Arabidopsis thaliana: one gene and its partner. The protein of the gene in region 1 interacts with the protein of each later gene in a pairwise test. Each region holds a gene or a part of one and is shown on either strand. Other genes may lie near its edges.

Evidence for each region.
Region 2: the proteins of ADK1 (region 1) and HOG1 interact in a protein complementation assay, tested with the Arabidopsis thaliana proteins (one study listed by BioGRID).

Annotation. Positions count from the first base shown.
Region 1 is NC_003074.8:3,009,143-3,017,339, reverse strand, and holds ADK1 (adenosine kinase 1), read right to left. Parts: upstream 5,561-8,197; 5' UTR 5,219-5,560; coding exon 5,127-5,218; intron 5,021-5,126; coding exon 4,967-5,020; exon of another isoform or gene 4,696-4,966; coding exon of another isoform or gene 4,676-4,695; coding exon 4,629-4,675; intron 4,538-4,628; coding exon 4,506-4,537; intron 4,419-4,505; coding exon 4,317-4,418; intron 4,211-4,316; coding exon 4,143-4,210; intron 4,046-4,142; coding exon 3,969-4,045; intron 3,871-3,968; coding exon 3,773-3,870; intron 3,669-3,772; coding exon 3,598-3,668; intron 3,485-3,597; coding exon 3,418-3,484; intron 3,343-3,417; coding exon 3,159-3,342; intron 2,859-3,158; coding exon 2,716-2,858; 3' UTR 2,396-2,715; downstream 1-2,395. Other genes in the region: AT3G09830 (Protein kinase superfamily protein), read right to left, coding at 1-141; IDH-VI (isocitrate dehydrogenase VI), read right to left, coding at 6,270-6,461, 6,949-7,021, 7,108-7,217, 7,414-7,488, 7,625-7,786, 7,875-8,195. UniProt on the Arabidopsis thaliana protein: ATP dependent phosphorylation of adenosine and other related nucleoside analogs to monophosphate derivatives. Essential to sustain methyl recycling.
Region 2 is NC_003075.7:8,051,791-8,059,505, forward strand, and holds HOG1 (S-adenosyl-L-homocysteine hydrolase), read left to right. Parts: upstream 1-2,882; 5' UTR 2,883-3,140; coding exon 3,141-3,851; intron 3,852-4,139; coding exon 4,140-4,886; 3' UTR 4,887-4,916; coding exon of another isoform or gene 4,917-4,973; 3' UTR 4,974-5,362; downstream 5,363-7,715. Other genes in the region: RALFL31 (ralf-like 31), read right to left, coding at 6,478-6,819; AT4G13955 (defensin-like protein), read left to right, coding at 7,517-7,595. UniProt on the Arabidopsis thaliana protein: Essential protein during embryogenesis.

The DNA of each region.
Region 1 (8,197 bases):
CGTCCCAGAGACATCACGAGAGTTGAACTCTGACCCGCTTCGGTTTATTTCGCGGTCAGAGAAGATAGAGGTCAATGAAACCGAAATAGGGGTCTTCTGTTCCCCTCTCTTATCCCCACCAGAGAACAAGAAACACTTCATTATCGAGAGGAGATTAAAATACCGATGTTTGTCCACTGCAGGACACCAATAAAACACTGATAATGATCATATAACATATACCGAACCACAAAATCAAAACCATTGAAGCATATTATCGAACAACTAATCTGCAAAGTACAAGCATTTCCAAAGTTAAGGCTTCCCCCAAGTACAAAACCACTTAACAGAGAGGAAGGCCTTTAGACCCAACAGATCCAAATTCTTTTCCAAGTAACACAAACCCTAAGTTCCAGTGAGTAATAGAAGGGATCTCGAAGCTAAAAGTAATCAAATTTCGCAAGTTGATTCCAATAAACTAAAACCCAACAGCAACATAAAGAACTTTGACTTATTGAACAAGTATATAAAAAGCAAAAGATGACACAACTCTCACCTTTGAATTTACTTTGTATACAGAAAAAAATCAGAACAGCTATCAGAAGAAGATGTAATTCAATCGTCAGAAGAGAAGGAAGATTATAATTATCATGAAGTGGTTAATGAATCACGATACAAAAGAGATCGAGGATTTGAGAAGCTAAGCTTCCGAGAGAAATGGATTTTAAGAAGCTAAGCTTCCGAGAGAAAGAGGTCGAAGAAGAAGAGGAAGAAGAAGTCGTCACACGGCAACAAAAAAAAAACGAAGTCTTTACAGAGAGAGATAGCTAAAGTCAGCGAAAGAACGAAGAACTGAGAATTTAAATTGGACAAAACAAATGAATTATTTGTTACTATTAAAAGATGTTTCCAAAATTAATATTCTTTTATTAGACACACAATCACACATAAAAACAACGTTTTCATTTCTTTTTCCTTTGACTTGTTCAACGGTGAGGTGCTTAGAAAAGTAGCCAACAGATCGATCAGTGTATCTAAATCACTTATGAGTTATGGTCTTATTTAGTAATAAAATCTTACTTATTTCAACAACATCATTTTCTATTGTTTAGGGAATTTTACTATGACAGAATAAATCTTCAAATTAATGGAATGCGAATAAACGATGGTGAAACGTTTTAACATACAAAATAAAACTATCTACAAAGTCTACAATAAACGACGGTGAGTGACTCAAGATGTATATGATTATGCATTTATGATAGACAACTCAACCAATGTTTGAGCTTTTGAAAAATAAATATTTTTTATAGATTATGTATAGATAATATAGTCACAGTTTTATAATTTTCAAGTATTCATTAATGTTGTTTTATATTTAATGGTACTAACTTACTATCATCTAACATCAACCATCTGTTGCAAAAAAAAAAAAACCATTGTTAAATATCAGTGATTGAAAATCTATAACAATACGAAGTTTTATTCTTAAGGTGGGTGAGTCGGCCCATGATGCCAAAATGGTTTCCACTTTCCAAAGTGGTTCAAAATATAATCTTACATAATTACATTAATGTTTATGTTAACAAGCATAGTTCTCTACTACTAATCTTATTTGTTTATGGTAATCATGAGATTTGCAATGGGGAAGTGGAAGGGATATTTCACTTGGGTCACCTAGGAGATTTCCTAAATCTTCCTAGAACCTAGAGTACATAAATTTAACGACAAAGTTTAGCATTTTCACACAAAAAATAATGAATTAAAGAAATCCTCGGTATTGGTTTCCGAATCCCGATTGATCTATATGTTTCTTAAAATCTTGTTTGGTAATTTGTACCACTTGTTGAGATACCTTAAACCTTGGTAACTTAACCTATTTATACGATTATGTTAAACTAATCCATACCACTTTGTCGTGTTGCTTACGCTTGCTGTGTTACAATTTGCGGTTTGATCCCGGTTTTGTACTTTTCGTATTGATATTATTCGCCTTCACTCAAATCTCGTAACTTCACGTACGTACCAATAGATGTTAAAACTAAAATGGATCAAATCATATTTGACTCGTGGCCTTTCCCATGCCAATTTATGCACAAATTCGTTTGATTAGTATACGTAGAAGATAAGAAAGTAGAACTGTACAAGTGAAGTAAAAGTCAAAGTTGTTGATATCGTCCAAAGTCAAAAGTCTTTTACGAGTCATACTGGTCCTACTTTACATTATCAAATACATCCAAAACGAGACATTATACTTGTCATTTCCATGATTCAATAGAAATTGTTCTATACATGTGCCGACACAAAAGATTCTGCAAATTTTCTTTGCATAGGAATGTCCAATGTTGTTTCGTTGAACCGAACCAAATAGAATTCGAACAGAGAAACTAGTTAATATAACAGTAATGTACATTATAGGGAATAATGATCATTCAATTATTTCATGAAATGAAGCAAGTTCAAACAAAAATAGAGGATAATTACATCCATGAAGATATAACAAGTTATGAACATTTTGACATTTGGAATATCATACTCGGCCTAGTATAGTAATAATATTTATTAATCATAAAAAGGTACAATAAAACCAAGCCAAAACACACACTCAATAATAGCTTAAAGCCTCAAAAGGTGATACAAGAAAACAACATAGAGTTTATTTGGGTCGTATAATAATAATCACCAAAATCTCATTCAGAGATAAAACTAAAAGGATGATTTGTGCGACTTCTAGATTTAGTTGAAGTCTGGTTTCTCAGGGTAAGTGCAACCAGACCTCTGGATCACTACGTTTGACGCGTAGCATCCTGCCCTCACACACTCTTCAATCCCCTTTCCGTGCACCAGCTGGGACAGAAACCCTCCCACAAATGCATCACCTATGAACACAGAGAACCAAGAGGGTTAAACCACCGGAATTAGTTTACTTGAGACTGATACAAAATGTATGATAATCTTCTTATTACAATATAACAAAGCAAACGGTTTGGTAAACCTGGATTTGGATAAGAGTTTTTATGCTATAATTAGATGAGTGGTTGATATCATCAAACAATAATAAGCTTTTAACTCTTAGCTATAAGTTAAGCTGTATCTAATCTAGGACGGAATGTAGCAAATTCGAGCTGCTGTGACTTAGTTAGAGTGCAGTTAGTGAGGCCTGAGTTCTTAACAAATACCTGCACCGTTGGTGTCAACAAGCTTCTCTTTGGGGAGAGGGATGACTGGGTACTTCTTCACTTTTCCATCCTCAGCGACAACCACAGGATCTGCGCCTTGTGTAATCACAGTAGTCCTCTTGTATGTTCCAGAGGCTTTGGGTAACTGGGACATCTTGATGGCTATTTGCTCAACATCATCAGTCTGTATAAAATATAACCAAACAGATTAATAAACTGTCTTTCTTCAAACAATACAGGGTGAAATTTCGACAGTTACCTCCCAGCCGTGAACCCTGGAGAAGGTTCTTGCCTCGGTCTCATTGCCAAAAATATAGTCCATGTACCTGGTCCAAGCAAGACATTAGATGCAGCGTCTTGCTTTTCAGTATATCGCCAGTGATTAGTTTAGGCAATTATAAGATGGAATAAATGGATCGAGAGATTAGGATGTGCTTACGGCAGGCACTTCTCCTGAACATCTTTGAAGAATTCACAGATGAATGGAGCAGAAAGGTTCATCGTGAACACCTGTCAAATATGTGAGCATATCAGGACTGTTCATGCCAAAGACAACACTGGTAGGAGAAACAAATCACTGTGCCTGGCTCTCATAAAGGATCATGTATTCATACCTTGTTGTTTGCAGCAGCATGTTCACGTACCAACTGAATGGATTCTGGTGATACCGTGAGGAAGAATCCAGCAATGTAATAAAACTTGGCCTTCTCAACTGCCAAGAAAGAAATATGTTTCACAAAATCTCAGATAACTCCAACATATGACAATATCCGATCTCAGAATAAAAAGGTCAGAAGATGAGTTTTGTACCCAGAGCCCAGTTCTCAGGCTTCTTCAAGTGTTCAACCTTGTAGCAATTAGCAGCAGAAAGATTGGCAATGAGCGATCTGCAAAAGGGGAAACACGCCTCAGTACAACTCAGCAGAAACACATCTTATTAAGACAAATGATAAGCAGACATAGAAAGAATTATTGTAAACTGACCTTTCTCCACCAAGAACACAGACACCGCAAGTTCCGGTAGGTGTTGCCTCATCTTCGTAATAGTGGACCTGGATACAGAACAAGCGCAGATTAACAGTCTATTTCCTGATGATTGAACATGAAGCAAAACCAACCACCAATAATTAATAATTGATAAACATAAAGCAGACTCACATAGACACCAGCTGCTGTAGCATCCTTCTTCATTGCCTCTCCGTATTTGTCCTTTCCAATGGATCCCATGTAACTGGTTGCCCCAGGAACTTGAAGCATCCACTGCAGTAATCAAAGATACCATTCATTTAGCAAAAAAAGGTACTAACTTCAAAACAAGTATGAGTAGAAACCGTAATTATCCTTTACCTGGGCCACTTTGATTGAGTTCTGGGTAGCACCTGAAAGCCAAACGAAATCAAGAAAATATCAAAAATACTGCAAATACACATGAACACCAAATGTCTATTGATAGCTCAAAAGATGAATTACCTCCAGCAATGTATTCAACATTGAACTTCTGGCTCATTTCATCGTACCTAAACATACCAATTATCATGTGAATAAACAAAGAGTATTTGAAAAATAATCACTGTCATATTAAAATCACATCAAGAATCACTTAAGGGCAATGAAAAATCACCACACTTGTGTCTGTTTCCCTTAAACATAGCACTTGTCACAATCAAATCATAATTCTTCTACGCAGATTACATATACATATCCACATCAATTACAGAACAACTTGAAGAGTAAATACTAATCAATCCTCATTATCACCATTTGAATTCAAATGCACGCTAGGATTGAGAAAAAGTGAATTCACTTACATGGGCAAATGTTTGTCCTCTGCGAGAATCGCATTGTTCAATTTGATGTCGTATCTGTCACGAATTCAAAAGAAAGCATTAGAATTCAGAGAACCCATAAAGAATATCGTAAACACAAACAATCTAGATCCGAGCGAAAACGATCCGGATCTGAGCTTACTTGTCGAGAAACTGTTGGTCGACGACGGCAGAGACGTCGAGGAGTGGGTTTCCCATTCCCAAAAGGATTCCATCGAAATCAGAGGAAGCCATGGATGATGATGTTAGAAGGATTTTCGAGGAAAGGGAAGAGGTTCAGATCTGGTAAATGGAGGAGCAAGTGTTTTGTGTGAGTGAAGTGTTTGTGTTTATAAGCTCTGAAACCAAAGTAGGTATACCAAAGATAGATTCTTCTTCTTCCTATTATTTTATATATATTATTTTTTAATGCATATTTATCTTTTTTTTTGGGCAAAATAATGTATATTTATATATTAGCTCAAAATCATGCATAAATTTGCCATTGGAATTTCTAATTCTATATTAAACCAAATTTTAGTATAGTTCATTTCATTCAACTTCATTTGTAGAGAAAAGTTAACTGAAACAAAATTTATGAGTAACGAAATAATTGATGAAATAGAGTAGTGTTGTTGTCAAATGCAGCTATATACGTCCCTATCCCACCAACCCACTTGAGAAAAGTGTCAACACATGTCCAAAAGTCTATTGGATCTTGTTGTAAGAACATAAAAATTCTAATTAAGTTGTTTCTTTAAGAGAGAGTTAAAAACAATGAGAAAACCAAATGTGACAGCATTGCAACTTACAAAATGAATAGGAAAAAGATTGAATTTGTCGGTGGCATTGAAAAGTCCTGAATCATCCACGTTGGTTTGTTTCAGCATTGAAAGTTTTCACTTTTCAGGGTTTGAGAGTTATGTATTCATTCATTCACAGAGAATAGGCAAACAATTTAGGTAAGGACAAAAGGGACGATATTATTATTGTTGAAAATTCACAGAGAATAAGACATAACGCCAAACAATTCAGGCAAAATCCACAAACTGTAAATGTGAACCTTTTGATGGATTCTTCCAATATCTGTATCCTTCTTTTGTTATGGATCTTAAAGGCAGAAGAAGTAATACAGCTCTGCAAGAACTTCAAATCTAAGGAAAACACAAGTCAATGTCTAAAGCCTATGGCGGCTTTGTTTCTCCTCATAGGAAGAGGATCAATATGTAGAAAAATTTTGGAGTGAAAATCCAAGAGGAAGATCCAATAAGTAAGTAAGGAAAGAATTATGGTTTTTCACGGGTGTTTAGAGATGATCACAGATGGCTTTTGTGAAATCTGTTGTAGTTGAGGAACCTCCGAGATCAGCAGTTCTATACTTTCCCTCGGCTATTGTGTTGATGATGGCACTGTGGATTTGCTCTGCTTGTTTGTTGAGCTTCAGGTGCCGCAACATCATCACTCCACTCAGTAGCAAAGCTGTTGGGTTCGCCAGGTTCTACACAACACCAGCAAAGAATAACAAACATGTGGATCATAAGCTAAAAATCGAATCAAGTTCTGATATTGAATAGTGGCAAGATAATATCTAAACCCACTGTATTTGAAAACATGATTTATTTATTAGACTCCTTAACCCTCAATGCTAGGTTGGCCAGTTATTAACATCATTCAAGTACTACAAGCACGATCATCCAGTAAGAACCATTCTACAATATAAACTAGACAATAATCCATTCTACAATGAAAGCTTCTGAATGTTCAACCAAGAAATGGCATAGAAGAGAGTAATGGAGAATCTTCTCTCAGGAACAGCTTCTATCATACTTAGTTTTAGGGTAAAAGTAGGCAAGTTCACTTAAATTTGTCAAAATCTGTAATGCAGTGTCTAAATCCTATTTACTCTAATAATTTAACAAGTTAACAACAACTCTATGCATCAAACGAATTTAGAACGATGATAACATCTAAGAATGATGACTAACCATTCCAGCAATATCAGGTGCAGAGCCGTGAACAGCTTCAGCAAGGGCAATACCATCCTCCCCAATATTCATACTGGAACAAAACATAATAAGAGCATAAGATGATTGCCTCATTTTCATACTAGACAATAATCTGTGAGACGAAGAAACAAATGTTACCTAGGAGTCAGTCCTAGTCCCCCAACAAGTCCAGCACACAAATCGCTGATAATATCTCCATAGAGATTTGGCATCACCAAGACATCAAAAAGTGCTGGGTTTTTCACAAGCTGTCAGAATTAAGATTATCAATCCCACATTGTTCCATAAGTAAAATTAGCGAAAAGCAGACCCAAGTATGGGTTGCTGGGAAATCTAACCTTCAAAATCAACAAGATTATCCCAAATACTAACTTAATTAACAATGAGATTGACCTTTACATAATTTGGAACAAAAGATAGGGTGGATATCATGTTATAGCTTACCATCATACAGCAATTGTCAATAACAACCTTCTCGTAATATATCTCAGGATACTTCGCAGCAACTTCATCACAACACTGCAAAGCAGGAAGCAAATAAAAACTTGTCTCAGAACAAAGGTTAAGAAAAAGAAGCCAGTGAGAGACTAGAAAAATTGCTATGTTCCCCTAATTGAGAAGTGCTAATGTATTCTGAGTTCCAAAATGAGCTGACCTGCAGGAAAAGACCATCAGTTTTCTGCATAATGTTGGCTTTGTGAATTGCAGAAACTTTCTTCCTTCCGTGAGTCTTGGCATAAAGAAAGGCATACTCGGCAACTCTCATACTCGCCTTACGGGTAATAATTTTAAGACTTTCCACTACACCCTTGACGACCTAGCAAATAAAAATGACAAATCATCAACATGGCTCTAAAAATGATACTAGATACAGATTCACTAAAATGACAGAACAATAGACTAACCTGGTGTTCAAGCCCACTGTACTCTCCTTCAGTGTTCTCACGAATGGTAATGAGATCAACATCATCATAACGGGTTTTGTAACCAGGAAGACTGTAACAAGGCCTAACATTGGCATACAAATTCAGCTCTTTCCTAAGAGTAAGGTTCAAGGAACGGTGACCCTTTCCAATTGGAGTAGCCATTGGTCCTTTCAAACCAACCTTGTTTTTAAGCACAGATTGAAGATTATCCCATGTCAAGAAACTATTGGTTCTAGGATCTACTTCAGTACCAACAAACTGTTCGTCCCAATCAATAACCACATCAGCGGCAGTAAACACCT
Region 2 (7,715 bases), on another chromosome or scaffold:
AACATGTGATGTGACGAAGATCTTCATTTTCTTCGTAAACACACAGAATACTGAAGTTAGAAAAATGTCTTTTTCAGGTAATATTTACTCAGTAAAGAAAAAAGGCTGGTAAAAGTAAACTTTTAAGTTTGAACGTTAAAGTCAATTTAATAGTGTTTATTTATTTATTCGACATGTAGAAAATTAAACGATCTACGTAAAATATGAATACAAAAATATTAAATATTAGAATAAAGTGAGAGTATGTGTAAATCACGTTTTGGTGAATTTTTTCCATGTGGTAGAATAATAGAGGAGGACTTTTGTTGTAAAGTAAGCTTCACCAACCTCGATTTTTAGACCTGTATAATTGGAAACCCACCTACCTCCGCAAATACAACGAAAAGTATTGTCTTATAATACTTTCTTAATTAAATAACAATTCTTTTGGAGTCATATCATATATATACTCCTATTGTGGTGTCGACATGGTGACATACTACATAATGAAACCGGTGAGATTATTCTTCTGCTAAACTTGTATGATGACCGGTGAGATTATTCCTAAAATATATTAAAACCTAGAATGAATTCTTTCTTTTATACGTCATGGTTTGCTTACAAAAAGAAATGAAATACCAAATTTTCACGTTTTTCAAATAATTGTGTTGTCTTTTTCTGTTTTGAAAAATAGTTTTACCGGTATGTTATCACATTTAAAAATTTTAATAAATACTTCTCATATACTGAAAGAAGTAATATATTTTTATATCATATTTTATTATTTTCGATCGATTTCCAATAGAAACAATTTCGATAAAATTACATTTTTTTGTAAATAATATATAAATTTTTTGTAGATTACATTAATAGAACTGCTGAAAATGGTCTTTAAATCCTCTTCCTCTTCAACATTTTTCCAAATTTGACATTTTGACTCCGAATCTCACTTATAAGTTGTAATAATAATGTTCATTAGTGCATTAGTTTCCTCCTTCGTTGCCCAACAAAAGAATAAGCTATCATTGACAGTTTTATGATATTCGGAGTTCCAAAATCATTTTTCGAAACTCGGCCTTTTAAGGCATTTGGATCAAAACTTCGGTGCATATACTAAAAACATATGGATATATCGGGTTGAGTCGCCTCGTAGAATTCCTCGAGAAGATATATATTTTGACTTGGTGCTGGCCATTTGTAAGAATAGCATAAGCCACCAGTCACCAAGATTATTCATCGTAAATTGTAACAAACTCACCATTATTTGGAGAGCCCAAAGATACTACTCAATCTTCTTACCATAAACTTTTGTCACTGTCTTATAAGCTATAAGATTACTGGTCTACTTAACTCAGAAATATTTATGTCCTTTGTAGCCAAAAGCTACACTGAAATTGACACAACTCGAGTGTTGTCCTTTTCTGGTCGATTGAATAGAATCGAATGTCTTAATCCAGTACCCTCCAGCTTTTATTTCGTGTAATTTATTTTCCAAACCTACCACTACCAGTTTCATAACTCTCGAATAAATTTATCAAATAGTCTTTTGAGTGCTCAAAGTCTTGGGATAATAAATGGTCAGTGCTATGTATCACCCGGATGTGAAACATTATGGGTGGAGATAGACTATTATAAATTTATTGAAATATACGATTGTTACTCGTTTAATAGCAAAAGTAGTACAATGTATATAGTTTCTATCGAGAACAAGATCTATTTAAAATTCGAAAAGTACATTTAAAATTCATAAACATATAAAGATAGTAACATGTTAGATCTGCATAGTACCACCAAAACAAGAAAAAAGAAACGCACATCGCCACATAATTGCTATGATTCTCACTGTCGGCTGCTTTGAAATATTACGATTCTTTTGGTAAATCACACAACATAATATAATTACAATAAATATATATATACTAAAGTATAATTAATATAATTAATACCACATTGTTTAATTCTGTTTTGATCTTTTAAGATCAGTCAGATCCACCGACGTTCCTACACGCGCAGGTCCAGATCCAAACAGCACACACACACACACAATGCCACTAGTGTAAATGCTTGGTGGCTATTGCATTTGCACCTATTGATACTCTTTCTTCAAAAACAAGTTATTGTTTTTATTTTCAACCCAACTTTAATACGGATTCATACTGGGATTTAGGTGTTAAATCTGATAATTTAGGTTTGAATAAGTTGTATATTTGTTTCTTTGATTAAAAAAAGAACCTATATATATACAAAAATAAATAAAAAGTTCTAGATTTCAATTTTCCGTATATAGCGGGTTGAATTGTCTATTTTAATATGAAAATTGACGGATCTTATAAACAAAATGTTCTGAAATATGTAAAAGGATTTAGCCAAAGTTAACCAAAAAAAAAAAACAAACAGAAAAGTCACATTCACATGTCGTGGTAGATCTAAGGCATTAATTTAGAAATATGTCGTTACAATAAGCGGAGAACATGGGACGTTTCTCGTGGTCCAATCAGACGAACGAGATCTCATAAATTAAATGACTTCAGACGAGGGAATTCATGGCAGAATGATAATGCAACTTAAGTGACTTTAGAGTGAAAATGATACGAGAACAATGCATAATCCATATGACCGTTGAGTGAGTGATACCATTAGCGCGATACAAGCGGGACTATAAACTGATCTAGATTGTTTTTCTTGGGAAAAAATGTTACAAATTTTAAATATGTAGTTTGAATTGTTAAACCAAGATTCAACAGAAATATACCGTAAATAAACAACAGTTGATAATAGTCATCGAAAAGATATCAACTGATTCTTCACTTGGGCTACTGTGACGGCCCGTTAGGGTTCTCAATATAAGTCAATAACTACGATCTACGATTCACTGAAACAAATAAAACACAGCCACGTGTCCACCCTCCCACATCACCGTCCGATCTAACCCACGACAAGCTTACAACACGGGTCATACCGCTCGTGCAGCGTGTTCCGTCATCCACGGGATTACAACTTCTACCAGATCCACCAAACCCTCAAAACAATCTGAACCGTTCATTTCATTTTGACCTCATCTATATATTCTCTGTCACTCCCTTTCTCTTCTCCTCGCACACACTTCTCTCTCTCTCTCTCTCTGCCTCCTTTCGGATTCAAATCTCAGATCTAGCTCAACCATGGCGTTGCTCGTCGAGAAGACCTCAAGTGGCCGTGAATACAAGGTCAAAGACATGTCTCAAGCCGATTTCGGTCGTCTCGAACTCGAGCTCGCCGAAGTTGAGATGCCTGGACTCATGGCTTGTCGTACCGAATTCGGACCTTCTCAGCCATTCAAAGGCGCTAGAATCACCGGATCTCTTCACATGACCATCCAAACCGCCGTACTCATCGAAACCCTAACTGCTCTCGGTGCTGAAGTCAGATGGTGTTCCTGCAACATCTTTTCCACTCAAGACCACGCCGCCGCAGCCATCGCTCGTGACTCCGCCGCTGTTTTCGCCTGGAAAGGTGAGACTCTTCAGGAGTACTGGTGGTGTACCGAGCGTGCTCTAGATTGGGGTCCAGGTGGTGGTCCTGATCTGATTGTTGATGATGGTGGTGACGCTACTCTTTTGATTCATGAGGGTGTTAAAGCTGAGGAGATCTTTGAGAAGACTGGTCAAGTTCCTGATCCTACTTCTACTGATAACCCTGAGTTTCAGATCGTGTTGTCTATTATCAAGGAAGGTCTTCAAGTTGATCCTAAGAAGTACCACAAGATGAAGGAGAGACTTGTTGGTGTCTCTGAGGAAACTACCACTGGTGTTAAGAGGCTTTACCAGATGCAGCAAAATGGAACTCTTTTGTTCCCTGCCATTAACGTTAACGACTCTGTCACCAAGAGCAAGGTATTGATCTTCAGATTTGTTTCTTTACTAGTGATGATAAATCTGCTAGGTCTTTAGCTCTGTAGTTTTTGATGCGATAGGCTTAACAACAACATAATCACTAAGTAGAAGCAAGCTTTTCATTGTTGGTTGTTGAAAGTATTACGATCTAGTAGAGAAAAGTCCTTCCTTGGTTACAGAATTTGCATGAAAAGTCAATATTTCTCATGCTTTCTTTGATTTTATATTCAACGTTTTGTTTACACTTATGTGCTGTTACTGATAAATTCATTTGTTCTTGATTTACAGTTCGACAACTTGTATGGTTGCCGTCACTCACTCCCTGATGGTCTCATGAGGGCCACTGATGTCATGATCGCTGGAAAGGTTGCTGTTATCTGTGGATATGGTGATGTTGGAAAGGGTTGTGCTGCTGCCATGAAGACTGCTGGTGCTAGAGTCATTGTGACTGAGATTGATCCCATCTGTGCCCTTCAAGCTTTGATGGAAGGACTTCAGGTTCTTACCCTTGAGGATGTTGTCTCAGAAGCTGATATCTTTGTCACCACCACCGGTAACAAAGACATCATCATGGTCGACCACATGAGGAAGATGAAGAACAACGCTATTGTGTGCAACATTGGTCACTTTGACAATGAGATTGACATGCTTGGACTTGAGACTTACCCTGGTGTGAAGCGTATCACCATCAAGCCACAGACTGACAGGTGGGTGTTCCCAGAGACCAAGGCTGGAATCATTGTCTTGGCTGAGGGTCGTCTGATGAACTTGGGTTGTGCCACTGGTCACCCAAGTTTCGTGATGTCTTGCTCTTTCACCAACCAGGTGATTGCCCAGCTCGAGCTCTGGAACGAGAAAGCAAGCGGAAAGTACGAGAAGAAGGTGTACGTTCTTCCCAAGCATTTGGATGAGAAGGTTGCATTACTTCACTTGGGCAAGCTTGGAGCCAGGCTTACAAAGCTGTCAAAGGACCAATCTGACTACGTCAGCATTCCAATTGAGGGACCATACAAGCCTCCTCACTACAGGTACTGAGAGAGAGAGAGAGTCGACAAAGCGGTTCAGGTTCGGATCTACTTGTGGTTTTGTGTTGGGTTGTGGTGGGAGAGTGGAACAGTTTGAGATATTGGTCTTCTGATGAAGTTGACCAAATATCAGTATTAATAAGGGTTATTGGCTTTTGAAGGTTGTGCTTGTTTTCTCCATTTTTCATGAAACTTAAATTAGTTTTTGGTTTAGTTTCCCTCTTGATTTTATTTTGTGTGTTCTGTTTAGCGTTGTACTCTTCAAACAAATGAGAAACCAAAAAAAAAGGGGAAACTTGTTTTCGGCATCCCAGTGTTAGCGACTTTTGTTGAATGAATGTCTCAAATGCTCATCTTTAATAATGTGTGTTAGGACACGAACAACACATGGTTCGATTCGTGGGGGATTTTATGGTTGTAGTTATTATCGTACACGTTTCAAAGTTCTCTTAAGTATTCAAAAAGGCTTTTCCAATATAAATTTTTGATAGCATTTAGCTATAAGATTCGTTTTCATTTTCTTCAATTCTATGTCATCACTGATAAAATCTGCTTTGAAAATTTCAAAATTTATTACTTTTGCAAGAAGAATGTGAACGTTCCTACAAAGAGAGGGGTAGAAAATAAAAACTGGACTCGAAGTAGGAACCCAAACCCGACTGAAAATACTCAAGAGTCCAAGCCCGTTCTAGATAAATACCAAAATGGGTCTTAAGGCTTGGTATTCGGGTACATGATAATATCTGATCCGAACTGAAACATGAACTGTTTACCCGAAACCAGTGGCGGAACTACGTAGGGGGCAGGTTAAAATTCAAAGTGGTGAACGAGTACGGCCTCGAGAGTTTATGGAGTAAGATTCGAATTAGCGTTTCCTACGAAACGCATGAAACCAGTACGTTCGACCAAGAATGATGAGGAGGTTCTTCTGGTTCTCGATGCAAACTTGGGCTTGTACAACTTTGAGTGTAGTACTTGAGAGGAATTAATCTAGAAATCCACGGTGTTGAATTCGACAAATTTCTACGTCTTATCACCAAAACTCATACGTTATAGAGATGAATTGAGGACCTCCAATGTTCATTTCTTTGGAGTTTATAGATTTGGTGGTTTATTTACATTGTTAAGACTACTTTCTTGATTTTCTATACTTACTAAAAATAAACTATAGATGATTTGGTGTTATTAATGATAATTTTAATACTGCTTCCCTTTCTTTCATGCCAATCTGAAACACATCGCTGAGAATTTCCAGGACTTATTGCAAGTTTAATTTGCTTTCTCACGATTTTTCCTTTGCTCGTGTAATTAGCAAAAATCTCAGAATCCTAAGTGAAAAGATTCTAATTTGGTCCAAAAGCACCCAAAAACAAGCAAACAAACACCCAAATTTATCAATCAATCTACCAAAAAAACTTAATATAATTTATAGATCTCAATAATTGAACATTGATAACCAACTAGTGGCAGAGTTACATATATTATAACAATTCTTATGTCAAAAACACATATATAACAACAGCAATGCAAAAGCTTAATCATATAATTTACTTGCCTCGGCCAAAAAGCTTCCAATTTTGGCAATTTCTTGGATCTTACCTTCATGTGTTGATGTCGTTTGTGTCTCTAGCGCATCTGGTAATGGTGTCACAGCCTCTGCTGTAAGAATTAGCTTGTCCAGAGCGACAATCGTAGTAAGAAGCTCCTGGTTTCTGACAAGGAACCATGTCTCTCCTTAGCGTTTCGTAGCCGATGTACCGTTTCTGCGCCATCAGTACTCTCCGGCTGATCTCAGTTGGCATTAGATCTTCATCTTCTCCGATGATACTGTTTCGGATCAACATTGCGTCGATCTCTCCGTTGGGAGACGGAATCGGGAACGCATCGGCGGAGATTAAGAGGAAAAGAATGGCGAAAATCACCAACGCTGTAGAGTTAAACATGTCGATGTTGGAAATTGCAGATTGTGCCGACGCGATCTCTCTCTATTTCTCTGTCTCTAAGCAGAAGAAGAAGCAGAAATGGGGTTAGTTGGTGAAGAAGAAGAGGTGACAAATGTACAGTCAACTTAAACCGGATTTAGGTTTTGGTTTAAGTGTTCGGATTTAGATCGGCCACTCAATTTAAACCGGCCGGTTTGCGAAACAATTAAAGTAGATTCTATCAACGTTTAGAAGCAAGTCTTATACAATTGTAGTCAGCTTAACTATTTATCTAAACAGGAAAAAAAATTATAACCCCTTCAGATAAAATGGTGGTCAACAAAACTATTTAATCATAATCATGAACCTGAGCATAAATTAATAACAACCCCTTTGACCAAATCATCATTGTTTAAATAACCAAATAAGAGAAAGAAATAATAATAAATATAAGCCATAGTATAGAAAAACCATAGCCAAAACATAAACAGTCAATTCCCAACATCAAAATATATCAAAAAGAAAGGTAAATTGGGTTGTATAATTTCATAAGAAATGTTGAAAGGAAACCACTTGAATCTCAAAGAGAGTCAATAACATCTTTCAGATTTTTGTAAAATCTAATATTCTTACTATCAGTGTACTTTTCTACAGTTTTTTTTTGGTTTCTCAAGAATATTCTAACAAACTTTTGTTGTATTCTCTAGCAACATAAACAATGGCCACTCAGAAGTTTTCATATTTTCTCTTAGTTTTGTTGATGGTGTTTGCTCTCATCCTTCCATCAATAATTTCAGGTAACACATATTTTGCCGGAGTCAAAATAAATAATCAAAATTCCCTGGAATCAGAAACATAAACATGCATGCACTATAATACAAATTCATAAAACTAGGAATTGATCATTTTGGTACTTA